Linked DNA regions of Drosophila melanogaster. Each later gene encodes a partner of the first gene's protein in a complex. Each region holds a gene or a part of one and is shown on either strand. Other genes may lie near its edges.

The links.
Region 2: Act87E (region 1) and MRG15 share a complex: the UniProt entries of both Drosophila melanogaster proteins name them as parts of the tip60 chromatin-remodeling complex.
Region 3: Act87E (region 1) and YL-1 share a complex: the UniProt entries of both Drosophila melanogaster proteins name them as parts of the tip60 chromatin-remodeling complex.

What each region holds. Positions count from the first base shown.
Region 1 is NT_033777.3:13,420,663-13,431,433, forward strand, and holds Act87E (actin 87E), read left to right. Parts: upstream 1-5,320; 5' UTR 5,321-5,380; exon of another isoform or gene 5,381-5,516; intron 5,517-5,784; exon of another isoform or gene 5,785-5,920; 5' UTR 5,921-5,941; coding exon 5,942-7,072; 3' UTR 7,073-7,713; downstream 7,714-10,771. Other genes in the region: Ir87a (ionotropic receptor 87a), read left to right, coding at 1-526, 824-1,277, 1,375-1,897, 1,951-2,478; yrt (yurt), read right to left, coding at 8,943-9,107, 9,531-10,088, 10,261-10,427, 10,537-10,691, 10,753-10,771. UniProt on the Drosophila melanogaster protein: Actins are highly conserved proteins that are involved in various types of cell motility and are ubiquitously expressed in all eukaryotic cells.
Region 2 is NT_033777.3:15,273,193-15,283,191, forward strand, and holds MRG15 (MORF-related gene 15), read right to left. Parts: upstream 4,918-9,999; 5' UTR 4,842-4,917; coding exon 4,769-4,841; intron 4,709-4,768; coding exon 4,594-4,708; intron 4,538-4,593; coding exon 4,422-4,537; intron 4,379-4,421; coding exon 3,393-4,378; 3' UTR 3,248-3,392; downstream 1-3,247. Other genes in the region: Cp190 (centrosomal protein 190kD), read right to left, coding at 1-864, 923-1,324; CG4338 (uncharacterized protein), read left to right, coding at 2,422-3,246; l(3)neo43 (lethal (3) neo43), read right to left, coding at 5,051-5,249, 5,311-5,429. UniProt on the Drosophila melanogaster protein: Part of the Tip60 chromatin-remodeling complex which is involved in DNA repair. Upon induction of DNA double-strand breaks, this complex acetylates phosphorylated H2AV in nucleosomes and exchanges it with unmodified H2AV.
Region 3 is NT_033779.5:10,965,559-10,975,583, reverse strand, and holds YL-1 (YL-1), read right to left. Parts: upstream 5,142-10,025; 5' UTR 5,031-5,141; coding exon 4,897-5,030; intron 4,837-4,896; coding exon 4,704-4,836; intron 4,628-4,703; coding exon 4,327-4,627; intron 4,268-4,326; coding exon 3,780-4,267; 3' UTR 3,491-3,779; downstream 1-3,490. Other genes in the region: abo (abnormal oocyte), read left to right, coding at 372-1,316, 1,374-2,048; CG16743 (uncharacterized protein), read right to left, coding at 2,354-3,076; Tmem214 (transmembrane protein 214), read left to right, coding at 5,462-5,582, 5,656-5,951, 6,008-6,622, 6,688-6,892, 7,001-7,146, 9,175-9,591, 9,674-9,792, 9,865-9,979. UniProt on the Drosophila melanogaster protein: Part of the Tip60 chromatin-remodeling complex which is involved in DNA repair. Upon induction of DNA double-strand breaks, this complex acetylates phosphorylated H2AV in nucleosomes and exchanges it with unmodified H2AV.

The DNA.
Region 1 (10,771 bases):
AACCTGGAGGACGAGGACCTAGATGAGGTATTCGAGCATTGGAAAGGTATGGTCAACTGGAATCCCCTGGCTCAATTCGTCGTCTATTTGGCCAGTTTGGAGGAAACGGACGAGGAGATGAACGACCTAATGGTGGAACTTCTTCTAACATTTATAAACAAGAAGATCTTCAACGTGAATGTTATAGGGCAGAGCGAGGAAAATCAATTTTACTACGGTAAAACTGTTTTTCCCTACCATCCGGACAATAATTGTGGTAATCGTGTGATATCTGTGGAATTACTGGATGCCTGTGATTATCCGAGTGAAGAAACGGATAGCGAGGATGAAAATGATGAAGATGAGGGAGATGGAGCCCAGGAAGAGGATGATGGTCCCCAGGAGGAGGGAGATGGAGAACAGGAGGAGGAAGATGGACCCCAAGAGCAGGAAGATGGAGACCAGGCGAAGGGAGATGAAGGTCAGGAGAATGACGACGGTGGCCTAGAGAACAAGGTGGAAAATGAGTTCCGAATTGGGGCAAGTGGTGAAAATATTGAGGAAAATTCCGAGTCTGCTACTACTAGTCAAGGAGCTACTGAGAATAATATAACTGAAATAGAAACTGTAACGGTTGAAAATATGGATTATGATGAAAATCCTGAAGGAACTAGGTTTTATCATTCTATAAAATCGCAAGAAAACTTGCTAAGACAATTTGTAACGCCTAAAAATTATTATTCTGATAATTCGCTTGAAAATACAAGTGTATTTCCTGAAACAAACTATGATAACCGAAGTGATTCCAATAACGAGACTAACGCTGATGAATTCCCTGGAATAGATGATGATGAACTTGAGAATGATTTGAGTTCCAATTCCTCCGAGCCAGAAGCTATTATCGAGGAATTTTTTCGGGCCAAGTTCGAGGATAAATTCCCACGCGACCTCAGTGGGTGTCCTCTCACAGCATCGTTTCGTCCATGGGAACCATATATTTTTCGCAACAGCGAGGAACAACCCGTGGATGACTACTACTACGGTTTGCAAGGGGATGAAGATGACTACAACGACACATCTCCAAATTATGGCGAATCGGACGACGAAAGCTATGCTGATCCAGGGGAGGACGGTGATGGAGCCATTCCAGACACAGAAACTCAATCCGGTGGAAAGCTCAAGTTGAGTGGAATCGAGTACGAAATGGTGCAGACCATCGCCGAGCGTCTGCACGTTAGCATCGAAATGCAGGGCGAAAACAGCAATTTGTATCACCTTTTTCAGCAATTGATCGATGGGTAAGCCTGATTAATATATATAAAATATAAGGTCCCGTACTCGGTCCCGTTTTTTATTTAATAAATAATTAGTTTATGTTTTTATATTTAATCGCAGTGAAATAGAGATGATAGTCGGAGGAATAGATGAAGATCCGAGCATCAGTCAGTTCGTTTCCAGTTCCATTCCTTATCACCAGGACGAACTCACATGGTGTGTGGCCAGGGCAAAGCGCAGACATGGGTTCTTCAATTTCGTGGCCACTTTCAATGCGGATGCTGGCTTTCTGATTGGAATCTTTGTGGTTACATGCTCTCTGGTTGTTTGGCTGGCTCAACGCGTATCAGGCTTCCAATTGCGGAATCTCAATGGATATTTCCCCACCTGCTTGAGGGTGTTGGGAATCTTGCTTAACCAGGCCATTCCGGCACAGGATTTTCCAATTACATTAAGGCAGTTGTTTGCGCTTTCTTTTCTAATGGGCTTCTTCTTTAGCAACACATATCAGAGTTTTCTGATCAGCACACTGACAACTCCACGTAGTTCCTATCAGATCCACACTCTGCAAGAGATCTATAGCAATAAAATGACCGTGATGGGCACCTCCGAGCATGTCAGACATCTGAACAAGGATGGTGAGGTGAGTTACTATCCCATTTTCGATCATGGAAATTAATGGGAATTCATTTTTAGATCTTCAAGTACATACGCGAAAAGTTTCAGATGTGCTACAATTTAGTGGACTGCCTCAATGATGCAGCTCAAAACGAACATATCGCCGTTGCTGTTTCCAGACAGCACTCTTTTTACAATCCCCGAATCCAACGAGATCGTCTCTACTGCTTCGACCGCCGAGAATCCCTGTATGTCTATTTGGTTACCATGCTACTGCCGAAGAAGTACCATTTGCTGCACCAGATAAACCCGGTGATTCAGCATATCATCGAATCGGGTCACATGCAAAAGTGGGCACGCGATCTGGACATGCGACGCATGATCCACGAGGAGATAACAAGGGTGCGAGAAGATCCTTTCAAGGCTCTCACCTTTGATCAGTTTCGCGGAGCCATCGCATTTTCCGGGGGACTTTTGTTGGTTGCCAGCTGCGTCTTTGCCTTCGAGTTGTGCTACGTTAAATATGTCTATCGCACTGAAAAAAGGGAAAGGAAAACGAAAAAAATCACGAAAAAAGTTCATAATATTAAAATTCAACATGATTAGAAATTGAAGTGGCGAAAATGACTTTGGCATTTCTATGATAATTGACATGCAAAATAAATAAATAATCAAAAATCGAGAAACGGGTATAGCTACTTTACAAAGTAATAACAAAATCATTTCTGCTATAATAAAATCTTAAAAGCCCATATAGCATCTATAGCTGCATATTGTATTCTTTACATTGCACATACATATATATATTGATCACGCATACGCCCTGTATAACCAAACATGTGCATTGAATTAAAGGCATTAAATGCATATTAAATATTAAAAATATCGAAATAATGCTTGAAGAGATTCATAAATATGCTTGCATATTAATATTTTCTTGGCACAATATTCAATTTAAAAATACAGCTTTGCCATACACCGTGTAATGCAGTCTACTTGGCCGCTGCACAGTAAGAAAATGCGTATCATTTTGATTTAGATAATAAAAGGCGAATTTCCCAGATGTCCCAAATGTCAAAATTCATCTAAGCTTGATAATAAATGTTCACTAATTTATATGTAAAGGTTTTTGATTGTTTGCATCGGTACTTGTGGCTGGTAGAGGGTAGAGATAGCTACTTGAGTTTTTCACTGTTGCACAAACTCTTAATATTTTTCCTCGTGTTCCGTACTCATATCCGTAGTAGCATCCGCAGCCGTAGCTGCTGGCGATGCGGCTGGTTGTCAGAAAGGCAAACAAGCGCGCACGCCGCCAACGTCAAGCTGTCGTCGGCATTCTCCTCCGTTGTTTGGCGCATCCTTAAAAGGTGGTGGTGGCCCAATGCTCGACCTGGTATGTTCTTTTTTGTGGTGGCCTGGCTGGTTGGCTGGTGCCTCCTCTTCGGAAGACGCTGCCACAATCAAATATATGTGATTTTCTCAGATTTTTATAAATAATATTTTCAGGCAGCACATTTGTTGCAGTATCATCAAATTGGCAGATTTGTGTTGTTGCTGGCCAACACAATTCAATCAGCTGCTGGGCAGCTAATGTGGGCCGAAAAATTTCACAAAAAAATAATACACAACTGTTAACATATATTCATGTTTATTTTTATATTAATGATGACCAGCTAGGCGTTGTGGCAAACCAAATGAATGGCGCCCAACAAGGCGTTGTGAAAATGTTTGCCGATTACTCAGCTGATAGCGGGGAAAACAGAGTGAATGAACGCATATATACATATGTGGGAAATTCTATATTATTTATGGAAAGTAACATCATTAGTGGGGATCATGGAGATTGAATACAATATTTAATAAAAGTTAAGACATTTCCAGTAGGTACTAGACACGGTACATAATCATTTCTGTCAAGAAATTGTATTTCCTCACCTGTGATAATTGGCCACTCGCATACTTATCTAGATTTAAATATACAAATTTCGTAAGTTCCTTACTAAAAATAGAATTCCAAACTCTAGATACGTTTCTACGCGTAAGCGTCCAAGAATCTCTTGCAAAAACGTGAGAGCGCACGGTTTTCATTTAAATTATTTTTGCTTTCCCCGACTTTTCCATCTCATACACGGTTTTCCCACCCACACCAACACTCTCAACGAATTGAGAGAATATGTGTAGTGTAAACAACAAACGCATTTTTCCGTTTGTTATTATTTTTAAAAATTCTCATAGCACCATATAAGTCTATTAAGAGTTTTGATCATTAACTGAATAGCTTTCAATGATCTCGTTTGTGATTGATGAGTGTGTGCCAAGAAGAAAAACTCGAAGAGAAATGTTAATGGCCAAATAAGTTGGGGCGTATTAATTAATGTCAATTTGGCCAACCGAAAAAATCTGGCAAATCTATAAATGCACTATTCGCTCTATTAACAATTTTCCGTTTGTGTTTATGGCTTTTGGGTCCCTAACCAGCTATCCCCAAAACCAACAACCAACCCACCCACCCAGAAAAACAGCCCACACCCAACAAATTATGGCCGAGAGAATGCGGCGGTATATAAGTTTTGGTTTAGTTTTGAAATTCTTATTTCTAATTGCGAGTGCGTTCTCATCATCGCTGAGAGATTTCCATCGCAACCATGTATGGATTGGGCCAACGTGCAAATGTTGATTAAAAATTAGACAAAACAAAAAACGAACACGCCACCCATACATCTGCAGACACCTCCGCAGCTGCAGACAAAGATATAGCAACAGATACAAATACATATAAAGATAACGATTCGGATTCGGATGGAGAGCAAACATTACGCCTACGATTGGGATGCTCCGATCCGGAGGATCTTCTCGGGTGTGAGTGTCTGTGTGCCATCGCGATGTTGTTTACCAAGGCGCTCAGATCCGTCTGTTTCTCTGTTTCTCAGTCGATATTACACAAAGAGAAAATGTTGAAAGCTGTGACCTAAACATCACCAAGTTCACAAGCCTTTACTTAGCTTTAAACCAAATAATTAAAAGTATTAAATATTTTTCTGGCATATTTACTTAATAATATAATAATAATACTTAAGAAGTAGTTTGTGGTATGATATTTTAATATTAGAAAATCATTACACAATAGAAAATAGGTACAAAATTGATTATTTTCATTCCATCATATGCGCTTTACAAAAATCTATATTTTCTCATAACATATTTTGAGCCATCTTTCCTGCAGTGCACCATCTGGGAAATTATGAACGAAGCGAGCAGAAGTCCAAAAGCAAAAATCCAACGAAAACAAATTATTTTTAAAAGAAACTCAGAATCTCCCCCCGCCGGCGCAATGTGCATCCATGTGCACATGTGTGCCGAGAGGCGATTGAGTGTGCGTGCGGAAAATATCTAAAACGACTGAGGGTCGCCAGAATGGTATAAATATTAGCGCATCTCGGTCCAGCGACCACTCGCAGTTCTACAGCGAAAGTGTTGATTTGGATTTCTAGTTTTTCTTCGTCTAACGGTTAGTATACTCCACATCCACCAATTCCGTCTGTCTGGTTGACTTTTACCCAATCCGATGCTGGATCCAGTGTACAGTGCCCAACTTTCTGAAAAGAAAGATACTTTGGAAAGATAGAGATCTCAACAAACAACATATTTGACAAGGAGCAGAAAAAGTTTAATCAACGATCCTTAAATGTTTGGTTTTTAATAGTGACTAATTTTTGTTTAAAAAAACATTCTTTAAAATGTTAAAACTGAAAAATATTAGTTGTTTGATCTTAAATCAAAAATTATAATTAATTAAAACTTTTATTAAAGTATGTAATATTTTCAAAAGTTGAAGACAGCCCTTTTTTATTAATTTTAATGATTGCTCCTCTGCAAAGATACTCTTTCTTTTAAAGTCATACATGTTCTGAGGCAACACCTACACGTATTTCATAATTTCACACTTACACACAAGATTACAATTAAAATCCATACCCAATCCGAATACCGAAAGCCCACTTCTCACTTCTCCTTCTAAAAACCGCCTCCGTTCTCGTTGTTGTTGCAGTGAAAACAGCCAGTAGCCAAGATGTGTGACGATGAGGTTGCCGCATTGGTCGTGGACAATGGTTCCGGAATGTGCAAGGCAGGATTCGCCGGCGATGATGCGCCCCGCGCCGTCTTCCCCTCGATTGTGGGTCGTCCCCGTCATCAGGGCGTAATGGTGGGCATGGGACAGAAGGACTCCTATGTTGGTGATGAGGCCCAGAGCAAGCGTGGTATCCTCACCCTGAAATACCCCATCGAGCACGGCATCATCACCAACTGGGACGATATGGAGAAGATCTGGCACCACACTTTCTATAACGAGCTGCGCGTCGCCCCCGAGGAACACCCCGTCCTGCTGACCGAGGCCCCCCTGAACCCCAAGGCCAATCGCGAGAAGATGACCCAGATCATGTTCGAGACCTTCAACGCACCCGCCATGTATGTGGCCATCCAGGCTGTGCTCTCGCTGTACGCCTCCGGTCGTACCACCGGTATTGTCCTCGACTCCGGTGACGGTGTCTCCCACACCGTGCCCATCTACGAGGGTTACGCCCTGCCCCACGCCATCCTGCGTCTGGATCTGGCTGGTCGCGATTTGACCGACTACCTGATGAAGATCCTGACCGAGCGCGGTTACTCATTCACCACCACCGCTGAGCGTGAAATCGTTCGCGACATCAAGGAGAAGCTGTGCTATGTTGCCCTGGACTTTGAGCAGGAGATGGCCACCGCCGCCGCCTCCACATCCCTGGAGAAGTCATACGAGCTTCCCGACGGACAGGTGATCACCATCGGCAACGAACGTTTCCGCTGCCCAGAGTCGCTGTTCCAGCCCTCTTTCCTGGGAATGGAATCGTGCGGCATCCACGAGACCGTGTACAACTCGATCATGAAGTGCGATGTGGACATCCGTAAGGATCTGTATGCTAACATCGTCATGTCGGGTGGTACCACCATGTACCCTGGTATTGCCGATCGTATGCAGAAGGAGATCACCGCCCTGGCGCCGTCCACCATCAAGATCAAGATCATTGCCCCACCGGAGCGCAAGTACTCCGTCTGGATCGGTGGCTCCATCCTGGCCTCCCTGTCCACCTTCCAGCAGATGTGGATCTCCAAGCAGGAGTACGACGAGTCCGGCCCAGGAATCGTCCACCGCAAGTGCTTCTAAGCGATCTAAACACCACAGACACTGCAAACCACACGGGCATTGAGACCCAACCACACCACGCCACAGAACACCACACAACAACAACAAGAACAACATGAACAGCAACAACCAAATACCAAATCAAGATCTATAGCCTAGTGCTATTGATGATTAATCTTAAGTTAAAACCTCTTGCTGCCCTGCCATCCAAAGAAAACCGAAGGAACCGCGATTGTAACAGCATGTATTATACTTATATTAATATTTATTGGAGAGCCGCTTGATGGCGCTGAAGGAGGAGTTGAGGAGACACAAGAATGCAAAATTTTACAGTTTTAAAAATAAATTATACTAGCATCCTCTATAAATTAAATCTAAATTTTAAACGAAACGTATCTTTTATTCGCTGCAAGCGGCATGCTATGCGATTATTTTTAGCGACGCACAGGAAATTACGAAATTTTGCACGCCCACTGCAAAGAGCGAAATCTGGAGGTGGATCTCCTCGACTGGGGTGCACATACATATGTACATATGTGGCTGGGGATGAGCACGGTAATCCCAGCATAGACGCCTCCAAGACAGTCCATTTTTGCCCATTGCCAGTCGGTGCAGGAGCTGCCCCCCTCGTCGTGGATCTAAAAATACAGACCAAAGGAAACAACAAAAGCGGCAAATCAACATGCCGAAGTATTAACAAATGTCTTCTAAGACTACAGTCAACCCACAGTAGATTGAACAAATATGTGACTTTGAATGTCAGAATATCAACTTTAAAGGGATTCGAAAATATATATTTTTAAAACTAAACTAATTAGGAATACAAGAGCTCGCTGAAAACAGTCTTCGTTCAAGACCTAGTTAAGTATATTTTAGGTATGTTCCACTGTAACAATGTGTGAGATGGCCGTTTTTTTGGAGTTAACATAGCCGCTGGGAGAAGCGACCGCCGGCTGTCTTTTAAATTGCAGTGCCACGACCTCGGGGGCTGCAAAAATATCTTGGAATTTCAAGTACATTTGTGTGGCTGGTCCGGGACGCTTGTACTTGAAGATCGAGCAGACAGACGACACCAGGCAGATGGGCCTCCTCGGGACTCGGGATTCCTGGAATGGGGTGCCCAAATCGAAAATAGACGAGATACGGGTAGGGTATGTTGTACTGTATACATGATGCATAAATGCACTTTTTATTGAATATTTTATACATTTAAATGCTTCAACATCGTTGCTGTATGCTTAGACAAAAAATAATTGAGTGGATTGCTTGCACTTAACATTTCGTTGGTGTGTGGTAAGTCATTTTTTCGGTTCTGGGACCCCCGGCGGACAATACATTTACAAAAATACTCGCACAATTACATTCAATTCAGCTCATTTCGATTTGTATACTTTCAGTCAATTTTGTGGCTGCAGTTTAAAATTTCGTTGTTCTTAGTGGTCTGCTAGTTGTTAATTGGAATACTGCACATTAAACGGTCCTCACATCTCTTAGCTATAATATAAGCCTAGTATATTAAGCAGAACGCCCAACATCACGTTTTTATTTTCTGTTAAAAATCCAGTCTATACACTTACAGTTAGCGGTTGAATACTTTATTAAGTACACGGTTTAGCACATTTCGTTCCTCGATATCGCATCGGTGTATATGATATATGTAAAGTATATAAATATAGATCATTAAGGCACATTTAGGGACAGTATGCTTTTGATTGGACCTGCTCTCTCATTGTCTTTTTGTCGTTGCTCTCGCTTGGAATGCTTAAAACTCGTCTAAGTTTGTCTACGATAAAATACGAATACGTTACGTCTGCCTAAATTTCCATAGCTACCGATTATAAATTAGAACATTTAGCTTATACGCGGAGTAGGGGTTACTGTTAAACAATAATTACAACTGGGTTGTAATAACGGATTTTCGAATGATGGCCGACTCGCGTCCCTTGGGTGCCGATACCACCTCCGAGGAAACCAGCCAGGGCGATACCATGTCTTTGCTGTTGCTGCTGGACGGAAACGGAATGCGACTGCTGTCCGGATAATTGCTCGGAGTTTTCTGTGCCAAAGATCAAAACGAGTGTTAATACGGCAGGTCAAGTGGGTCAATGGCCTTAAAATGGTTAGTGGAGTGCAGATTGACATGAAAACGAAAAAAGGCGAGACAGACATCTGCGGCAAGCCGCAGCTCATATACCCTTGCAGATGATTATATGTTTACATCAGCTTATTATTATGTGATTCGACTAGGGTAGGTAAAATTGTTGTTTTCTAAATGAATTCAAATGATGAAGTCAGGAAGGGGCCTTCATATTAAAAAGCTATTTTAGGTTATAGATCCGATCACAAATTTGTTTTAAGTACTAAAGAAAAAATACTTGTTGTACCTTCTGCAAGAGTATAGCAAAACGTTAGTTAATAGTTGAGGCCAGTTTAAAGACAGACAGTAAAAGCGTAGACATAAGCTCGCAGGTGCTCAAACCTTTTCACTCGGCGGCGCATCGACTTCACTGTGGTTTTGATTCAGATTTAGACTCTGATTCATCTGCTGGTTGGTTTTCTGCGATTCCAAGCGCTCCTGTTCACTGAGCGTGGAGAAGAGCAAGGTGCCGGCACTGGGCGTCGAGCTGCCCGCCGGCTTGGCAGCAGTTTCGGCAGTGATACTGCCGCTGGCATTATTGTTTATGATGTTGTTAATGAATATTTCATTAATGAGTATTTCGGCGGCCGAGGCGTTGCTCAAAGCGGGAGCCACTGACTCCGAGGCGGTCGTGCTAACGGTGGCGGTGGGGCTGCTGGGCGTGCTGATGGTGGTCACACTGGTAAGGGTTGTATTGCACCCGCTTCCGGTATTATTCAGATTCGCAGGCAGCGACGACGGCGGAGTGAGTGGTGCACTGAATCCAGACACAAAGGTGGCATTACTATAGGGTCCATTTCCATTGGTGGTGGTGGTAGCGGTGCTCGAAGTGCTGGAACTACTGCTACTACCCGTCGACGGCTTCTGTTCCGGTATGCTGAGCGTCAGCTTATCGCCTCCCTATTTTTGTGGTTTAGCAAGCATACAGACACAAGCACATGGAAACAACACACGCAATACCACGGATAAACATTAAGTGCGGACAACGAATGGAAATAAGAACGTATAAACAGAAGGCATGAAACGAGTGCAATGCAGTGGGCTTAAACTGGTTCGCTGGCCAACAACTTACCACTGATATGTAGGTGGCGTTCAGGGAATCCGGTCCATCGCTGTGTGCATGGTTGTTGCTGCTGTTTGTGTTGCTCGTGTGCATGTTGCTGCTGTGGGCGGCCGGTACGAACATCTGATTGGTAAGCTTGGCGTTGCCTCCGGCACCCAGCTCCTCCTCAACGCGAGCTGCAGGATTTGTTAATTAATATTTCCTTAGTATTAAGCCAAAGAGAAAATGCTTGCAAAATATGTAGGCGTGCAAGAGCTTTTCAACCAATTAAGTTGGTAAACTCACCCTTTAAAATATTGCACTTGATGTTGCCAGGCGGCAGGGCCGTGGTGTTCACATTGGCCAGTTTCACTTGGTTATTGGGTTTCTCGTTGGCGTTCGAGAGGCGCTTCAGTGTCTCCGTGTTGTGGTCCATGTCGAAGGTCTTGTTGATAGTCACCCTGCCAAAATATCACACTGCCGTCAGTATATTTTTTAATATCTAAACATGGGTTACGCTACCTGATACTGTTAGCATCAT
Region 2 (9,999 bases), 1.9 Mb from region 1:
CTTTTGCTGAGAGCTAGCCGCCTTCTGTTGTGCTGTGATTAGTGGCGTACTCTTGTCGGCTTTGAAAGAAACGTGCAGTTTCTTGTGTGGCGATGTAGTTGCGGATGACTGGTTCGCCGGGGGTTTTACTGTCGCTGGAGCAGATTTTTCGGTCGGCGCTGCCGGGGTATTGGGCATAATCTTTAGCTTTATGTTTTTGTGGCCCTTTACAATGTGCGGATACTGGCGCAAGACTTCGGCAATGATCTTGGTGTGATTCAGCTTGGCGTTGGAGGAGTCCTTGACAATTATTGTTGGGGTCTGGCTGGGTGAGTCCTGTTTCAAGATAATGGTGGTGGATCCATGTTCTAGTTGGGTCTGTGTACCCTGTGGGGATTGCTGCTTAGATGTAGATGGCTGCGGTGGCATATCATCGTCATCATCGTCCCCGGCATGGACATCATCATAAAGCATTCCTCCATCGTACTCAGGATCGTTATCTCCGTACTCAGCGGCGATTTGCTTTCGCATCCGTTGTTGCTCAGCGAATTCCTTAACCTCTTCCAAACTGGGCTTCTTGGATGGCGGCGATAGCAGGCTTGTCTGTGCTGGTCTCTTGTTATTGTTATAACCCTTTCGCAGCTGCTCGAATGGTGACGTTGGCTCCTGCTTCACATTGCTACTATCTCCATACGGCGAACGATTTGAGCCACCTGATGTTCGGCTCATTGTGTTGCCAGTTGACCCGCGCTGTGTGTTGGCTCGTTGCGCGATGGGTGTGGCTACGTTTCGCGATTGCGGCGAAGGACCCAAGACGCGCTGTTGTGGAAGACCCGAACTGGGCTGTCCAACTGTGCGCCGGCGTATTCCCTTTGGACTAGGCGGCTAAAGAAAATAAAAGGTTACAAAATATTTTCACAAATGATGAATTGCCACCACTCACCCTTTGCTGGCGATTAACGTTCTCCATGGTGCGACGGTGCGCCTCTAGCAGCTTCAACAGCACCGTCATGTTCATTTCCTTGGCGGTGCGCAACAGCTTGCCGTACATTTTAAGCTCAAACTCCAGGGTGCCTGTGTACATGAAGTTGACAATGGGCACCACCACGTCCGCCTGGAACTCGTTGGGCATGATGAGGGCATCGTCGACGATCTCGCAGGTCTGCTCCAGTACATTGAAGTAGTCGGTGCAGGCGCTGAGCACCAGACGGTGTACCTTTAGCTGTGAATTGTCCCGAAACTGCAGCGTCAAATCGCAGTAATCCGTTTTATTAAAGAAGTTCTGCAGCTTCTGCAGGAAGAAGACTCCCCAGTTGTCCACTTTCACGGACTTGACTTCACCCATATTGCTGTGTGCTTGGCTAGTGGCCGTGCTCTCCGTTTCCGTATCCTTATCGTTAGCCTCCCCGTGGTTTCGCTTGCTCTGGCTTCAGGGCGCAACTGTACTCACGCAGGGGTAAGGAGTCGGAAAAAGCGTATTGGGATGGGACGCAGGTGAATGGGTAAAACAAGAAAGAATAACAATTAGTAAGTATGGTATATTCCGCTGTTAGTTTCAAATAGACGCCCGTTGATTTTGGGTTATTCGGTTTATTTTGCTCTGCCGCCACGGCGCGAAATGCAACTCGCAAATATCGATATACGCCTGTGTACGTGTGACAGTTTCGCGGGCGTATGTGTGCGATGTGCGCGTCGCCAGGCTTCTTGTATTATTTATCAGTAATTGTTCATTGTCCGCAATTCTGCAATGTTTTCTTGTAAGTCCAACTTTGGCATCTTTCGGTGGGTGGCATTTTTTGAGCCCTTTTGGCGCGCCTGTCCACTTCACACAACAATGGTTTTTTTGGGGCACGCACAAATCACTTTGACCTCAGCGGCTTGTTTACTGCGTGTCCTTTGATTGAATGTACTTTTTTCAGACAATCGCCGCACAATTGCACTTTTAATACATACATTTCTTTGAATTGCACACTACTTTTGCCGGACAAATTATAATTTTTTTCCAGAGTCAGGTCGCCATATTCTTTTCCATTCATCGTTGGCGTGACAGGGTTGCGCTCGGCAGCTATCGATAGCCATGCGATAACCTCAGTCTCATGCTTAACATTTTTAAGGTGACGTAAACGCAGATGAAGTTAATCGTTAAGTCTAAAAATATTTGAATATGATATACTTTAAGGTTATTGCAGTTTAAGCTAAATCTTACTAAACACAATACATATACTTAAAATACTTTAATAAATATTGTTTTGCAGTTGAAAACAAAATACATTTACTTAAACTATTGAAATTTTGAAAAGTGACATCGTAATGTGTCACATTTCTTGCGCCACCCTTCTTTGCAATCAAAATATATAAAACGGGTCGTCGGCTTGGCCACCACGAGACGTTAAAAACACTTTGATTCTTTTTTGCTTTGATAAAGTTTTAAACCAAAACATAATGAGTGGACGGAACCGCGGCAAAGGAAAGAAGGGTGGAGGAGGACCCTACCGCAATGTCAAAGCGAATCACAATTGTGCCCGCAGCTTTGCTCAGCAGGCCAACGAGCTGGCCAGCAGCAGTAGCAGCGAAAATGAAAGTTCCGACTCGGAATCCTCGGGAGATGGAGCCCAAAATGATCTCGGCCAGCCGCCGGAGTTTGCGGTGGCCATGTGGGACCTCAACCACTGCGATCCAAAGAAGTGTTCGGGCAGGAAACTGGCACGCCTAGGACTCATTTCAAATCTTCGACTGGGTCAGAAGTTTCCTGGCCTTGTCCTCTCGCCCGTTGGCCAGTTGTGTGTAAGTCCGCTGGATCGCGATGTGGTGGCCTCTTCGGGCGTGGCCGTGATCGACTGCTCGTGGGCCAAGCTGGACGAGACGCCCTTTGGAAGGATGCGCAGCCCACATCCGCGACTGCTGCCCTTCTTGGTGGCCGCCAATCCCATCAACTACGGAAAGCCCTGCAAGCTCAGCTGCGTGGAGGCCATAGCCGCCACTCTATACATCTGTGGATTCACGGAAGAGGCTCGCTGGTTTCTGGGCAAGTTCTCATGGGGTCATGCCTTTCTGGAGCTAAACGACAAGCTTCTCAATGCCTATGCAGCCTGCAAGAGCAGCGATGAGATTGTTAAGGTGCAGAATGAGTACCTGGAGAAGGAACAGCAGGAGCGGGATAAGCCTAGGGATCTTCGCGACTTCTATCCCACCAGCAGTAGTAGTAGTAGTAGCGAGACGGAGACCGAGGGCGATGATGAAGACACAAAAGCGAAACCGAAGAACTAATACAAGGTGCTGACATTTATTACCTTATGACAAAACATTTTACTTGTGTTTTAATTTACAATTTGGGAGCAAATTGAGAGCAACCACCGAATTATTGCAAACTGTTTTGATGAAATATTTACTTCAAGTCAAGAAAAGATTATTGCTTACTGTGCATTTCGCACGTACTCGGGATCAACGTTGATAAAGTTGCTCATGCTGAAAAATATTGAGCTGTTCTTTACGAGGAATTTAAGGAAATCCTGCACGTGCGTGAGTAGGTTCTGCATGGACTGCTGATCCAACGCAGAGTAGCTGAGCATTGAGCCAAGGCGGACAAACAGACGCAGCAGGTGAAAAGATCCGTAAAGCTCGGACAACGGTGTGTCCGGATGCTTCTGCATCACATCCGCGTACTGGGTGCGTTCGAATTTGTACAGCAACTGGGAGCCCAGCATTACATTGAAGTACTCTACAATTCCGTCGAGTACATCGTTTATGGCAACCTCCTTGCTGGCACTGGTCGATTTCACGGACTTCTTGTGCGCCAAATACTGCTCAGAGATCTGCTGCACGGTAACCTTGGCGGGCAGCTCCAGCAGTTTGTGCTCCCGCACCACCGCATACCAGTCGTCGGTCAGATAGTGCTTTAACTCGTCGGGTATCTTAATCTTGACCTCCACCTTAGCTGCGTAGGCCTCCTCGCTTTCCACACACGGTGCCGGCTCCGTGGTGGGTGTGGATGGAGTGGTAGTGGGCGGCAACGGCTTTTCTGCTACATCGCTTCCCGTAAGAGAAGGCCGTTGTTCGCTCATTCTTTTCTTTTTCGGCGCCACCGGCCCCTCTTCCTCAGTGGTCTCAGCTGCGGCGGGGTCTTCCTTTTTATCACTCGGCGTGCCAGGTCTTGCTGTGGATGGCGTCGATTGTGTGGACTTTCGGTGGGCCCGGCTGGTTGTAGAGTTGGCGGTGCTGTTAGTAGTCGTGGTGCCAGTGCTCCCGGCTTCCGATTTGCTTCCCGGTCCGGCGCTAGTTGTTGGTGTGCTGCTAGCGGTCGATTGCGAGGTGTTGCTATCCTTAGACGGCGTCGAGGCACGAGATTCGTTCCGCATCTGTTCCATTTTCTTGGCCTTGGCGCTGCCTGGTATGTAAACACCTTAATTTACAACTCCAGGAATTGCGTTTGTTACTGAACTCACCTTTCTTATTATCCTTCTTGGAGCGCTCGCCGCACTGGCGAGCCAGTTCCTGACGTCGCTTGACGTTGTCATCGTTGTACTTGAGGACTCGGTTCTCGGGCACCCACTCGTCCCAGCTGAAAATGAAATGGCTTTCATGCAGATCGGTGTTCATACTAGTAGCTTTGCTCACTTTTTACTCCAGCCCGCGTAGTGGATGTAGTACTCAACCGGCGTCGCATCGGGTTTTGTTTTCAGAACCTTGGCCTCGTAGATGAGCGGTCCGTGGAAGCACAGAACCCGTTCCCCTGCAAATGGCGCCAATGTGTTTAATTTGATTTATAGTTGGGCTTAAGTTATTGCCCTACCATCCACGAACAGAGTGTTTGCATCGGTCCCCGTGCTATAGTTTTCCACTTTAGCGGGTTTTACTTCTCCCATTTTATTTTCAATAATAGATAATTAACAAATCCTAGAGTGACCGTGCGTGACGCATAGGGCTATCGGATGGGACAGTACCGATGCACTTATCGATTATTTACAGGGTATTGTCTTGGTAGATATTAACAATATTGATTTATTTATGACTATGTACATCAAACAGTCTGTTTTTATGGGTTGTTTTCTTAATGATTTTGAAGGCATCAAGTCTAGTGCTTCGCTGTCGTCGGCTGATCTTCCTGCTCCTCCCAGGGACGTGGACCGCGTTTGTTCTCCCAGTTCTCTATGTCCACGGACTTGACTTTGTCGTACTCCGACTCCAACGTCACATCCTTGCGGTTTTTCATGCTTACGCCGTACTTTTTCATCTCCTCCGGCGTTACCGGCTGCTTCTTGGCGTACTGATACCTGTAAAGGGAGGAGACTCATGAGTTAGCTAAGGATTTCCCGGAGATTCTTGAATGCTAGCCTGAGGTTGGAGAACTGCTGCAGTCCAAAGGAGCCAGCCACCATCATGATGAGGAAGGGTATGCCATATTTGAACGATTTTCGTGTGCTGTAATAGTTTAATTTATCCACGAGAGACATTGTTGTTATTTTGTGTTATGACATTTTGGCACATGCGGTTACACTGCAAGTTGAGAACGAAGTGTGACCAGTTATATGATAATAAAAAAATTGGCGCAAAATTTGAACACCGATTTCTTATCATATGCAATGTAGTTATATTTTATTAAAATAACTTGGCGATAGTTTTAAAAATAATTGAATTTAAGCTAAACTATTAACAAGAATATTTAAAACATAACATTTTGTAATCGAAAAAAGTTATTTTCAATTTGGCACACAGCACTTTATTTTAGCCACACACACTAGGCGCCTATGTCAATCAATTTGTGCAGCTGGTGTCGTCTTTGAAAATAGTTGTCCTTGAATCCAAATCGAAAGATTTGTTGTCCCTGCCAAGTGCGAGCAAGTTCTGAATAATTGCAAAACATTGTTTTCCGGCGCACGCCTAATGCCCACCATTTGCATGGGGTTCGACGATAAGTTCAAGGTCCCCGCCGTCTCTTTGGTTTTCAAATAATTGACACTGACAATGTTGAAGAGCGCCAAAACGCTGTTCACATGCACACGACATTCGATCCGGATCACCTTGGCCAATTGCAGGCTTTGGCAAGGCAAGTAGCTCGCGGCGAAGATTTCCTTTTGCTGCCCACAGCTCCAACCAGTTCGCGATCGCTGCGGCTTCATTCACAAGGAGCCGGCGCCAATTGAGTCATCAGAGGCACCCCCCCCCCCCCTCCCGAGAGACTGGGATAGTCCCACACCCCTTTCCCAATAGATTATATTTCAGTTTGCAATGCACCCTACGCACAGTCTTTTAGTTGAGTGATTTGCCCAATGGGAAATAATATCATTACAATTAAAAGACCAAGGTTTTCATTTAGTATTGAACCTGATGAGCCTACAATGAGCTACATACCTAAGAAGTAAAACTTCTCCAACAACCCGTCACAAATAACTAAAATATATTTTTTATATAAAGCCAATTTCTGCCCGTGTAAACCAAACCCAGTCGTCTATGCCCCTCAGCCCGGATTAAACTTTTCCATACTATTTTCGCCAAATATGGTCGCGATTTTTCTAACAAGATTGCGCACTTGTCTGAGCCAAGCTGAGTGCTACACACTCATGAACTTATTTAATTCGCGTATATTTTGGAATTATGAAAACTTTGGTTTTCCATAACTAACACATGTCAACGGGTCGGATTCGATGGCCATGATTTCGTTTTCGTATTTAGCAAGTTGCTCAGACTGTTTTGCTATTTTACAATGTTTTTCGACGTTTTCTCAAGGGTCTTTTCCATGTCTATGTCTTCTTTGTTTTTTTTTTTCTTTGTCTTTATAAATATATTGATCTAGTTTTCTTGCTTCGAAAACTTTTTGTTTTTAATGAATACAATTACGTCATTTTGTGGGTGTTGTTTGAGTTAATTTTAAAATTTTCATCAACCTCGGACTGGCAAATGTTCTCCAAGATAAGAGAACAACAAAAAATGGAATAAGTAAATACATATATGTATATATGTTGGGGCTATCAAATTGGCTTATATTTATAGGTTTATATTTAAAGACTTTAGTTGCATTCGAACATATAAGATCTCCAACAATTTTGTTGGCGATAAGATTAAAAGGGCGTGATCAACGAGTAAGCAAGCAATCTAGAAGGGCAAATATGCATATCACCAGATCGGAAACTCAACGATTATGGGGAAACTGAATTTCAACCGTTTTCACGTTTGCAATTTAAAAAAGCATGAATCATGGATGCATTTTCTTGCGAGACAGTTACAAAAAAACGTATACTTTCATATGTGACATTTATGATTGCCAGCAAAATGTTTTCCGTTCGCAGACATGACGTTGAAAAATCTATAGAAAGAGCTTTAATATATAGAGCAGAAAATAATAATCTGTAGACCTATGGGGGAAATACGTACGTATAACTACGTGAAACAAGATTTTTTGGCATATCAATAACTGAAAATTAAAAATAGAAGTTGAGAACATCAAAAAGCAAAACAAAACGATCCCCAAACCAATACACTCTCATCGGGAAAAGAGACACGATTGCCTAAGTATTGGATATATTTTGCAATGGGCAAAAACACTGGGTGAAAAGAGCTTTTCAAAATACGGGGAAATATTCAAAAATAGGCTGAAAGAAAGGCATTCGATTCGAAATGAGTGAGCATTACCCATACATGTGCAGCGAACAGGTGAAAGCACCAAGGAAAGGATCGGAAAAGAGAGGCAGAGAGAAAGCGGAGAGAGAGCGCAGGCGCCGGGCTTGAATGTGTGTGTATAAATTGTAACTGTATTTGAAATTCTGATCTTATGCTTTCCGTTACACTGGCAGAAATCGGATAGGAACATAAATTAAATATATTACGGGCTGAGGGGTAAAGAAATGTTGTACAGCTTTCTTAACTGGCATAGCCCATTTCACTTTGGAGTATTTTCTGAATGAAAAAAACATTTAATATAATTTATAAATGAATTTCAAAATTCAAATTTGTAATAACAAAAGTAGCATGAGTAAATGATGATAAATGATAAGTGCGACATAAATTTATAAATACATTAAATCAAAAGTGCATATTAAATGTCCTGATATTAGAAAGCATGCATGATTACATTAAATATGAGTATATAAATAAGAACAAATGCACCCCTTTGTTGATTTCGCGCAGTGTATAAGCTATTGTACCCCGGCCGAGCAATTTACCGATGCTCTTGGGGTAAATTGAGAGCCAAGTGCAGTTCCAAAGTAGGCGCAGACAGCAACAACATATGCTCGCTTTTGGCCGAAAAGTGCGCACTCTCGCACACAGATACTCACGCACACAGGCGCACTAGCGCGGCGGCTCACACGCACACACACCAGCGCAAGCCGCTCGAAATCGACCAAGCGGCGAGCATCGAACGTCAACATATTGAATAAATATTTTCAGTTGAACATCACAATCCGTTCAAGTCGCGGATAACTCCGAATAAAAGTTTTGTAAGTAAAAAGGAATACGTTATCGTTGATCAGTAAAAAATTATACAAAAAAAAATACAAAGATATCGCTGAATATTTCCACAAAAATACTTGTCGAGTGCTTCAAAAATAATTTTAACTGTGCTAGAATTCGATTCTTATTTAAAAAAAAGGATCGAACCAAAAAGTATAATTACATAACCACAACGTTGCTGCAATATCTAACTTAAAATCCACCAAAGTGCTGTGCAATTCTCAACCCTAATCATCCGCAAGTATTGAAAAAAATTGAAAATTTTCCCAGTTAGAATCGAAATAAACCCAAATAGAGGTTAAGCACCTTTGCAGATCGCGAAAAAAAAACTAAGAATAACGATTCTGGGGACCTTGTCAAGTTTGTCTGCTAACCGCAAGTTGCTATATAGGGTTTCAGCTAAACGTATTTCATGAGATATATAAACATGGTCAGTGGGAACTTCGAACGATCTTAGATTTTAGCGGCAGAAGTAAAGAATTAAGGCAAAAGGAGGATTATCGAGCTCTCTTTCCTCCTTTCAGAAACTAAAATTGTCATGTTGTATATGAGAAAGTAAGGGAATCATTCTTAAGATAAAGATCAATGAGATAGACTTCAAGATAGCTATCCTTGCTATGGAATGGTTTCCTGAATTATAATTTTCTTTAATCCAAAATGTTTAGGAATTCATTGAGCCTATTTTCCAAGTAACTGGGCAACACGCGCATTTACTTTGCAGTTTTGTATCTTTGAAATCTGATCCACGACCGCTGGCCCTAGCTGCCAAATGAATCTGAAGCGAACGTAGGCGAAATGCGCCAAGAATTTCCCAGAAAGCTCCCTTCCTCTCAGCTTAGTATTAAGTAATATCCGTGGAGAGGCTAGATATTCAACAGATGCCTCGGCTGTCCTATTTTTAGATACAATCCGTGTGTGCTACAGATACTAAACAGTGAAATAGAGAGCAGGAAAGCTGCTAGAGTATCGCCCAAGGCATTTGGCTAAAGAATCTATATGCATTAGACCCATTTGAACCAACGTGTGTATATATCGTACTCTAAGAATAGAAAATTCTGTATTCTGTATGATTAAATTCCGAATTTTCCATGCGATAATTTGTAAATTTTGTGTGGAAAGGTAGATCTTATAAGGTCGGATACAGATGGAAAATATCTGTAACTTGTAAACTAGGCAGAAAAGTAGGAATTGCGAGGTGCCAGTTCATAAGGATGGCTTGTTAGTTGGCCATAGTTAGTTAGATATAAAAAATGAGTTATACATATACGCATTTTGTTTCCTGAAATATTAACTTTGTTCCTAATGATAACGTCATTTCTTGATAAGGATGATCTTAATACTCATAAACCTCTTTGGTGTAGGCCCATTTTTCGATTATATATATGTCATTGCCGAAAGTTATAAGATGTCATGGGAATTTTGTGCTGAATCAACGCAAACATAACTCAATGTGTCACCTTAATCGACTTATGGCCCATACACATGCAGATTTATATATATATATATATGTATATCTGTGTGTTTTTTAAGCGAACAAAAAATTTGCCTCGATTGCGTTTTCATTAAAATTCAACG
Region 3 (10,025 bases), on another chromosome or scaffold:
AATGGTTCAGAAATACATAATATACTTAGAGCATTTAAAAGCACTCAAGAATAATTTTATTTAAAAAAAAAAATAAATAAATCTAAATTTGCTTTTCATAGATAATTCATTTACACATTTTTTTAAACAAAGTAAAGTAAGATGTATTGAATTATTTTATTTATAAATAACGTTTTTTATTTGAATCTTGAAAAGCATTAATATTATTATTATTATACTTATATTTTTTAACAACAAAACTTTTGTAGACAGAGTAAATTTTTGTAATCTAACTGCGGTCACACTTTACTTTAGTTACCTTCCGATCGGAAGAAGAACCCGGCTGACATTAGGAATAGGAACTTGGCAGAACTTTCCCAGGATCTGTCAGAATGGCCTACAAGAAGCGCCTACAATCGCAGAACCTCGTGCATCTGCTGCAGAACCGCGAGTCCGGATACACCAACGTGGGCCAACAGCCGGGCAGGATGCCGCTGTTGGCCTACGAGCGTCTCTTCTACAAGTGCATCACGCCTTGCCTGACAATTGACTCGATTACCATTCCGCCGATCTACCTGCGCAAGTTTACGCCGGATGGCAGAAAACTGTTGGCCTTCTCGCAGGATCAGCGCAGTCTGCTCATATACAGCTACGGGGGTTCTAGTTGTGCGGCGGTGGGTGAACTGATTCGCCAGGCGGATGTAGGCAGTGGCGAGTGCTTCAGTAGCCAGGACACCATACTCAAGAGCAGGATCTTTGAACGCCTGTTTCCCACAAAAGAGACGCTGAATCTATGCCAAGGCGACTTTGGCCTCTACTATCTGCACCGGGAGTTCAGTGTGTTCCTGGAAGAGGGTCGTTATGCCATGCTGGCTGCCATGACCGTTGTGCGCGGCGCACTGCCGGTCGATGACTACGTACGGTACCCAGATCTGTTCGACAAAGTGGACGCCTTCTCGTATGTGTTCTTTCTGGTGGATTTGAAGCTAGGCGTCGTCACAGATAGACTTATCCTGCCTAACGACTCCATCGTCATTGCCCACAATCATGGAATTTCCGTGTTTGGCTCAACAGTGATGATGATGTCCCGGCTGCATCAGTGCGTTTACGTCTATTGGGTGAATGACGGTAAGTTCCACCAGCAGGAGACTATTGGTCCCAGGCCGAGGGACTTTATCGAGAAGGCTACCACAGACTTTGACAATCTTGACGCCACCACAGTTTTGCCCATAACGCACATTAAACAGCGCGTCCTTAGCTTTCTGTACCGTAAAATTAATGATAAAAGTGGCAACCCGACGGAAAGTCAGAAGTCGTTTTATAAAAACTTTGAGTATGTAAGTAACATTATAAAGAGTGACAACGGTCTTCACATCCTTACATATCTCATTTAGATAGAACACATGATCATGGAGAGAATGCATCTGGTGAACAATGAACTTCTAATGTTGCGCTATGAAGAGCGGCCAAATGGTACCGATACCATGCCCATGGCTACATCACCGCGCCGCTTGTATGTATTCTACACCATAACTGGCGAAGAAGTGGTTGGCGTTTATCCGGAATATTCCGTCAACCTGCTGCAAATCTTACTGCAATTCAATGACTACATGAGCAATGATCGATCGCTGCAATTCGGTGATGCACCTTCATTGCCCATGCATTTTTTCCTAAGGCATACCTTTGCGGATTCCAATGAATCGGTCTCCGTCGATCGACATACGGCCTTGCGCTTCAACCCCAGCGTTCCACTCAGCTCCCAGAGCCTTTCCTCGTCGCCCTATCTAAAGTTCAACGAATTTAGATACGACAGTCGGTACGTGTCTCCTCTGGAGCAACCCCATCGCTGCTGCAACGATCCTATTGTGTTTCTTGACCGTGCCACGGATTCAATCAAGTTTAGACTGCACGCTACGGCCCGCCGGCATTTAAATCCTTTGGCGCCACGGGAATTGTGCGCCTTTATTTGGCATCCCTTTGACCCACTAGTGCTCAGTATCCAGAAATGCATGAACAGCTACGTCTACCACGTGCACTTGTATAACCACAGCACAATAGTGGAAAAGTAGACTGCCTAATATGTACATACATGATTTTGTACATTTGTGTATAAAACATATTCAAGTACCTTTTATATTATGAAATATATGTGATACTAAAATATCTCGTTTTACCTTTTCAGTAATGTCTTTATTTACAATGGTAAGAGAACATTTCTTTCTTTTATTTAATCAAAGACTGTGAAAATTGTGAAAATTCCAAGTACTGTTTAAATCTTTAATTCGACTTTGCTACATTGTATTGAAGGCCGACTTGAAACTTGAGGCCCAATCCGACGTTTAAAGTTTCATGTAACATTGTATCTCGACTGCGACTACGTTGAAGATTGGTGGTGACCGTCCTCGTTGTATTCCTTGTTGACCTTAAGGGAATGATTAATAACGCTCGAGCCGCCTGGAGGATAGTTCGGGGCAGGCCCTGATCCCGGGCCGCTGGCAGGCTGCTGTGCCTGAGGCTGATTGGGGATCGCATTTGGGTTGTTAACTGGATTCTGTCCGGGAGCCCCCTGCGGTGGATAGCCGCCTGGATATCCGGACGGGTCGGGTGGATACATTGATGGTGGCGGAGCTTGTTGCGGGTGTGGCGGTGGTGGTGGTGGTGGGGGCATGTACAGATTGTAGGGATATGAAGGATAGCCTCCCATTTGAGGATACGGAGGATACGGCATGTACGGATTGTAGAGATATGAAGGATAGCCTCCCATTTCTTGATACGGAGGATAGCCCGGATTAGGATATGCAGGATAATTGTACTTGTGCTCCGTCTTGGAGTGCTTGTGCTTCTTCTCTCCACTGCTGCTGCTGCTGCTGTCGCTGCTATCGCTGTCCGTCCTAACCACTTCGTACTGAAGTAGCAGTACCAGAAGGACTCCAATCGCCGCACAGCTCTTCATTTCTCCGTTTAAACGCACGACGTTCGTTTGATCTAAGCTCACGGGTATGACTAAATCTTGCTCACACAATACCTTGTCCCGTTCCCGTTCCGACAATTCAAATAGCCAGCGCGTGCGTTGATTTTGATAAGTCGACAAAAACATACAGATGCGACAAGGTTGCGGCAGGGCCCACTCAACTAATTCCCTGTAAGAGTTTAGGATTGAAAAACAATTTCATTCGGAAATGAACAATACTTCGCCCATAGATTATAAATAGAGAATACAATGGGTTAATAATTTATGTGATGTAATGTCTCATACTTATTAATTAGTTATTGTGTGTCGGAACAACCGCATTTCCTCCAGATTTTGTTATATATTGCAAAGAGAGGCTGTGTGCTTATCAATTTGACGCAAATTAAGCGAAACAATTCTTTTGAATAATCTTAATAGAAGACTGCGACGCTTTTATTATTTAGACAACTAAACTTTTAAATAGAGCGGCAATTAAAATTAGATACTAAAAGGTAATAAATGGGTTTTACATATACAAATTGGATTAGCAAGATAAACTTTCTTTTGTGTAAACTGTTTTATCAACTTCTTAAGTTAATAAACCGGATGCTGCTGATAAATAAAATCAAAACAGACTGTGCGTTGATTATAAATACTTTTTAAAGATAACGTTTTGGGAAATACCCTATGTACTACTTTTCCATTGTCGCCATTGTATGAAATATATTAGGTAATCGTTTGGTACTGCCTGAAATTGACGAGGGTTGTCCAAAGAGTAGTTTGTGATTTCTTATACCTTTTTATTCGAAAAATACGTATAGCTTAATGAACTATAAAATTGATAGCATTATTAGTTATCTCCGTTTTTGCTGGCAGCTGCCGAAGCCTTCAGACGATTCTCCTTGACCAGCTTGCGCCATTCCAGCCATTTGGCCAGTTCGGGTTGCTCGCTGCCGCCGCCTTGCTGTTCCAGCTGCATGTAGTAGGCTTCGCGCAGAATTTTGAAGGCCTGGATGCTGTAGTATGGCTGCTGTGTGATCGGGTCAAAGTAACGGGCTGGCAGCCTGGTGATTGGACAGATGCCATTGCTGGCTTTGGGAGGCGCCTTGTGGCGGAAGAGGCTTTGAAACACCTTGTCATTGAAATCGTTCTCGATTGTAACGAATGTGCGTTCGCACTTCCCAGCAAGATCCTTTGAATCGACCGCAGGGTTTGCTCCGCGAGTGGGCTTTCGCATCGCTGGCATGGTTAGTGAGTGGTAGCGTATCGTGGGTCCGGAGAACGTGCGCTTGGTGGGACGTGATTTCTTCTTCTCCAGCTCCATTTTCTGGAATTTCTCTGTGAATGCAACAGCAAATTGTAAAATAGCTGCTTCCTTGGTTGCTTTAGATACCCACCCAAAGATTTAGTGTTTTCTTCCTCGGTTATTTTGGCCTCCTCCAGCAGCTCCTCCTGCGTGGGCATGTAGTCCTCCACGCGCACCTTCTTCTTTTTGCGCTTGCGGGCATCGTCCAACTCTTTGAGGCGTATTTTGGTAGCCTGTGTCTTGATGGCCGTGGAAGTGCGTATGGATTTGCGGCCGGAATCGAGGACCGTGAAGCGTGGACGTGGCCGCCGTTTCGTTACCCCACCACCAGGTCGTTTCTTGTGCAGGGCCGGCGTTGCCTTTGTTTCCTTTTTGACTGCAGGCTTGGTTTCCTGCGGAAATCATATGTACCATTTAAACACATTCAGTAATCACAGGATTTTATCGCATTTTAAGAATGGTTCGCACCTTATAAGCCTTTGTGTTAACGACACCGCGTTTCCGCTTTTTCTCGGGCGCCTCTTCCTGATCCGAAACGGGCTCGTCGTTCTCATCGATACTGAAGTCGGAGTCAACCACATCTTCCTCTTCGTCTTTTTGCCTGCAGAGTGAATTTTATATGGCTTGAGCATTTAAATTTATTCAAATGATTAGTGCTCACTCGTATTCCTTATCCTCTTCGTCCTCCTGAAATCCACCATAGGACGTTTTGTAAAAGTCGTCCTCCTCTTCCTCATTGAGCAAATGAGCTATTTTGTTGCCGGCATTGTTGCGCCGTGATCGCGAGGCAGCCATTTTTGTTATTTATATATAGAAACTATGATTTAAAGCAGCTATTAAATAATAATATTTTACAATTTGTAAATGTAAACAAGCAGAGCAGTGTGACCAATGTAGCAAACATAGTATATATCGCAGAGGCTTTACAACTTTGGTATGCGTTTCAGCCCTGGTAAAGAAAATGGTTTCTCCTGCATTGGCAGTTATTCAAACACATTTAAAACATAGCTAAATTTATTTATTTATCTATTACATGTATCACAACAAAAAGCAGGCAGCTGCTTTAAAATCACATTAAAAAGCGGTCGGTAATTCAACTACCGAAAGTAGACCACATTACTTTACACTTGCGCTGGCCACACTCTTGGCTTGTTGCTTTTTATTCTGCCGGCTGCCTGCATTTTCTGATTTAATTTAATACCATCGATAAAAAGACTGCTCGCAACATGTCGGAACAATGGGAGGTGGTCTCCAAGTCGCGCAAGCAAAAGAATCTGGACAAGAAGGTGTCTGCACACAACGAGCAGAAGCGCATCGCGGCCCAGTTGCCCAAACTGGAGGAGCTGTGTAAGAATCTTTTAAAAGGTGCACCTTGCAATGCGATTACATGTTTGCCCCTGCCATTTTATTCACTTCGCAGTGCCAACTCAGCGGTATCGCAATTTGTTCGGCAGCAGCAACAACAACAACAGCAAGTCCCATTCCCCTGCGAAATCTAGTTCAAGTGCCTCATCTTCCTCAAAAGCCAATAAGTCGCCAGTTAAAAAGCACACCGCAAAGAATGCCTCTACCCAAAAAAGGACCACGTCGGCAGCCGCATCGAAGCCAAAGACTCTGGAGCTGGCCTTGAGAAACATCACCCGGGATGATTTTGCTGCCCAACTGGAGCAGGTGAAGCTCAGTTGTCCTGGCTCCGAGCTGCGCTGGTTAAGCCATGTATGTTTCTAAAGGAAATGTGCCTAAATATTTGCTCACCTATCGTTGTCCCCCAGATTGCGCTATACTTCAATGAAGCCTTGTCCTATGACTGCGATCCCATCTTCTCCGGCCGCTCGGCTCAGTATCCCAGCAATTTGGCCAGCGCCTCGCTCAAGTACTCAATTGTGGAGTTTCTGGGCAGTGTGGGCGAACAAAACCTGGAGTATTTCTTCTACTCCCTGCTGGATAGCATGTCAACGGATCTAAACAACAATCAGACAGTGGCAGGCTACAAGCTCATCCTACAGTTGATCGGTCAAAACTGGCCGAACATTTGTTCTAGGAACCTGGCCAAGACTGCGTTGCTAAGGAACTCCTATCAGAACCGTAGCAACATCTGCCTGAGCATCCTGTGGGCAATTGGACAAGGTGGCTATCAGTCCCTAAACGAGGGCGTTCGCGTGTGGCAGAACCTGATGCTGCCCAACCTGGAGCTAAAGCAGTACACCAAGTTTGTGGTCGAGTATATGGAGCGGGCTCTGAGTGCAGCAGCTGTCCGGAAGACAGCGGATCCTCTGCAGATCAACCAGCAGGAGTTCTTTGCCACTTACAATGCGCTCAATGCACCCTATAACCACCTGCCCAAGGAATGGCAGCAAAGTCTGAAGCGTAGTGCGCGTTTGTTGCTTGTAAGGACGAAAACAATTGATAGTTGTCCCATTGTTTCACTGACCTTTCTTCCTCCTGTGTGTAGCAACACTATATCAACAGTCCTGTGAGGCATGCCAACATATTCCTTACGCTCTTCCGGGAAATAAGCGCCGGATCCAAGCAGACTAATGAGATCGAAGGCTGTATTAGTTGTCTGCTCAGCAGCGGCAGAGATGATTGCCTCAGGGTGTGGCGCATGAACTACAAGAAGCAACAGTTGCCTAGTCTACTGCTTCTGAAAGCTATAAGTACGATCTACAGCTGTGAAAATTCATTTAATTGGATTTTTGTTTAAAAGTACCACCCACACTTAACGTTAATGTGTTATCTAATATTGAATTTCTATCTTTTCCTAGACGACAATTGGACCACGTCTACCCATGAGTTGGCTACGTCGACTGTGTATCACTCTTTTCTGCAAGATGTGGCGAATCTGAACGAAGAACTGCAGGGAAGCAAGAGAAACGAAGGTCACCTAGATGATTTAAAGGAGGTTTTGTTGGTGAGTGCGACTTAAGTATATCACTCGATTCCAAGCATAAGGCTCTGATCCCAGATCGATAAAAGGTGAATGTTGAATGTGTGTTGTTTTATCTTTTATAGTTTTATTGGAAAACTAGTATATAGGTAATATATTTATTTTGTTAGCTTTTTTAACCCAAACTTATTATTCAAACTTAAATGAAATCAGAAACACTATAAATTTGAATTTTCTCACACCTCTGGTAACACTGTTTAAGTTAAGTGGTCTGGCTTAGTACATTACGTACTCTGGTCACATTGCTTTAGTGAAAAGAAAAACGAAGGTATAAACTTGTAGAACTGCCGTCTAAAAGTGAATAATTTATTGCAATCGGTGCTAAAAAGAATGATATGAGCTTATTACACTGCAGCTAACTAATGTAAAACTCTTCACGTAGAAGTGGCCGAACTGTTAGCCGTTAATGAAGTTAGAGTTCTTTAGGAGGACGCTGCCAACGCGACGTCGCTGCGGGAAAGAGATGGAAAGCGTTAGCCGGCGTTCGTCCGAAATTTCTCCGCTATTCAACTGGCTTTTGAAGCCTGGAGTGAGCATAAATTAATGGTCCGCACCTTAATTATCGCGTTGTCGCAATTATTGTTGCTGTTGCAGTAGTGCAAAGTGCGTTTCGTGCATATGTGTGCGTGTCAGTATTAACGGTTGTGTATTCCGCCGTTCTGCACTGGTATTGGTGGCAGCTATAGCTGCACTTTTCCCATAGCGTTGCCATGCGGGTTCCAGTTGCCGCTAAATTTCTCCGAGCAGAGCAGACGTTTTGCTTTCGAAAAGAGAGTGGGCATGGCCATCGGGGATCATAAATTGCCGCATTATCAGCCAACATTCTTATCAGTACACCCAATTTTCGGCTGATCTGAGGCTTATTTTTATTTTCCTATTGACTGATGTGTTCCAGCTGCGATTGGCCACTCGCCTCCTGCTCCCTCACCCACTCCCCTCTCACATCCCGCTTGTGCGCACTCTCCTCCTCTCTTCGCCTCTTCTCCGCACTCTCACTCTCATTATTGCACAGTGGTGCAGTTTCGCACTATCACCTGAAAATCTCGCAACGCCACGATTCCGAATTCTATGGTCCAAAAAGGGGGGCGAAAGAGAACCATTTGAAGATTTGGGCTGCTTCAACACGTGGCATGTCCACTGTGACCCTGATTCTCGCTGGCCTTCCATCATTCTTTCTTTCTTTCACTCCGAAAGCATAAAACAGACGAAATTTAGAGGGCATAGTTCATTCAACTCTTTTGTCCACAGAAGAAACTATTGTGAGTGTAAATGATACTTTAATTTAGAGACAAGGTGTGTTATTTTTAAATAATGGTGAAAGTAACAAATTTAAAAAAGATTACATTTTTTCATAATCATTATGACTAATGTATTTAGTTCATTAGTTCATTCATTTTCAACGTTTAAAGTAATTAGTAAATATATCTAATTTTGAAGACCATCACAATGAATGAATACATGTTTTCTTCATTAAATTTGTGCAAAACCTATACAAGTGTTCCTAAAAATTGAAAAAAAAGTATCTACACCAATTAAGCATAGCCTGCATATTGAATATAAATGTTTTTAATCTGGACAAAATGGTATTATAACTACGTATTTCCAATTTTTAATTATCCCCATCCTCACTCGCGGTTTTAGCTTACTCTTAAATCTTAGGTCATCGAGCTCAGTCGCAAAAAAAGCTCAGTTTAAAAGCTCAAAAAGTCTCGTCATTCTTTTTAGCAAACACAATTGCAATGATAAACACAATAAATAATTAAACATCTTTTGCGAACAGCTGAGGAAATCTAGAAATACTCTTCATAATCGAAACTCATTGAAATTAAGTTAGAAAATGGCTCAGGTTAAACCGAAAAGTAACAAACAGAGCGGCAAACCAGTGCCGGCCGCCAAAAAGGTAAAAAATTGAACTCAATCAAATGATTCCACAATATCAACTATCCCCAGCAATTAAGATTCTTAATAATTTTCTAATTTTGTACTATGTAGAGCGTCCAAGAGAAGAGCAGCGCGCAGCAGAAGAAGAACAAACAGAAGGCCGCGGCAGAAAAAAAGAAATGCGGATGCTGCAAGTGGACCTTGGGTAGCATCTTCATCATCGCCCTGATTGCCGGAGCTCTGTACTACGATACCGAGGTGAACGGCAAGGGCGTGTTCGAGAAATCGGCCACCGGCAAGGTGCTGAAAAATGCCGGAGTCCTGCCGCATGTCCAGAAGTCCTGGTACACGGTCATGGGGGCCGGAGCGCGGGGCTACAAGTGGGCGGAAGTGAATGTGCCGCCGTACGCCGAGCCGGTGATCAAGACCACCTGTGACCTGTGGAAGCTGGCGAGGAATGCGGCCTGCAACGCTTACCAGAACGGCAAGGGATACTTTGGCGCCAAATGGCCCGTTGTGGCAAAGTTCGTAAGTGTCTTTTAGTCGCCATGAAGATGAGGTCATGGGCAAACCAGTTTTGAATTAATAATACGTTCCATCTATATTTTAGATTGACCAATACGTGCCCAATTCGTCTGGCAAAATCGAAGCTTTTGCCGCTGGCGTTAGCGATTTAGCCGCCAGCAGCTATGAAAAGGCTGCAGCGCTCATCAAGGAAAAGGTGCTTGTGTAAGTATGCCTGCCTGCCTGGCCTTTGTTGTCTTTGAGAATGCATCCCTTATGATTGTGATCTTTGTTTAGTGGCCGTCTCTCGCCCGAGAACATCAATCAGGCGCTGAACCAGACGCGTAACGCCGCCCTGGAGTACTACAACCAGTTTCACAAAAAGGTCGACGCATACGCCAAGCTCAAATGATTTTAAGCGTCAGGAACGCTTACTTCTCGAACAGCAACATCATCAG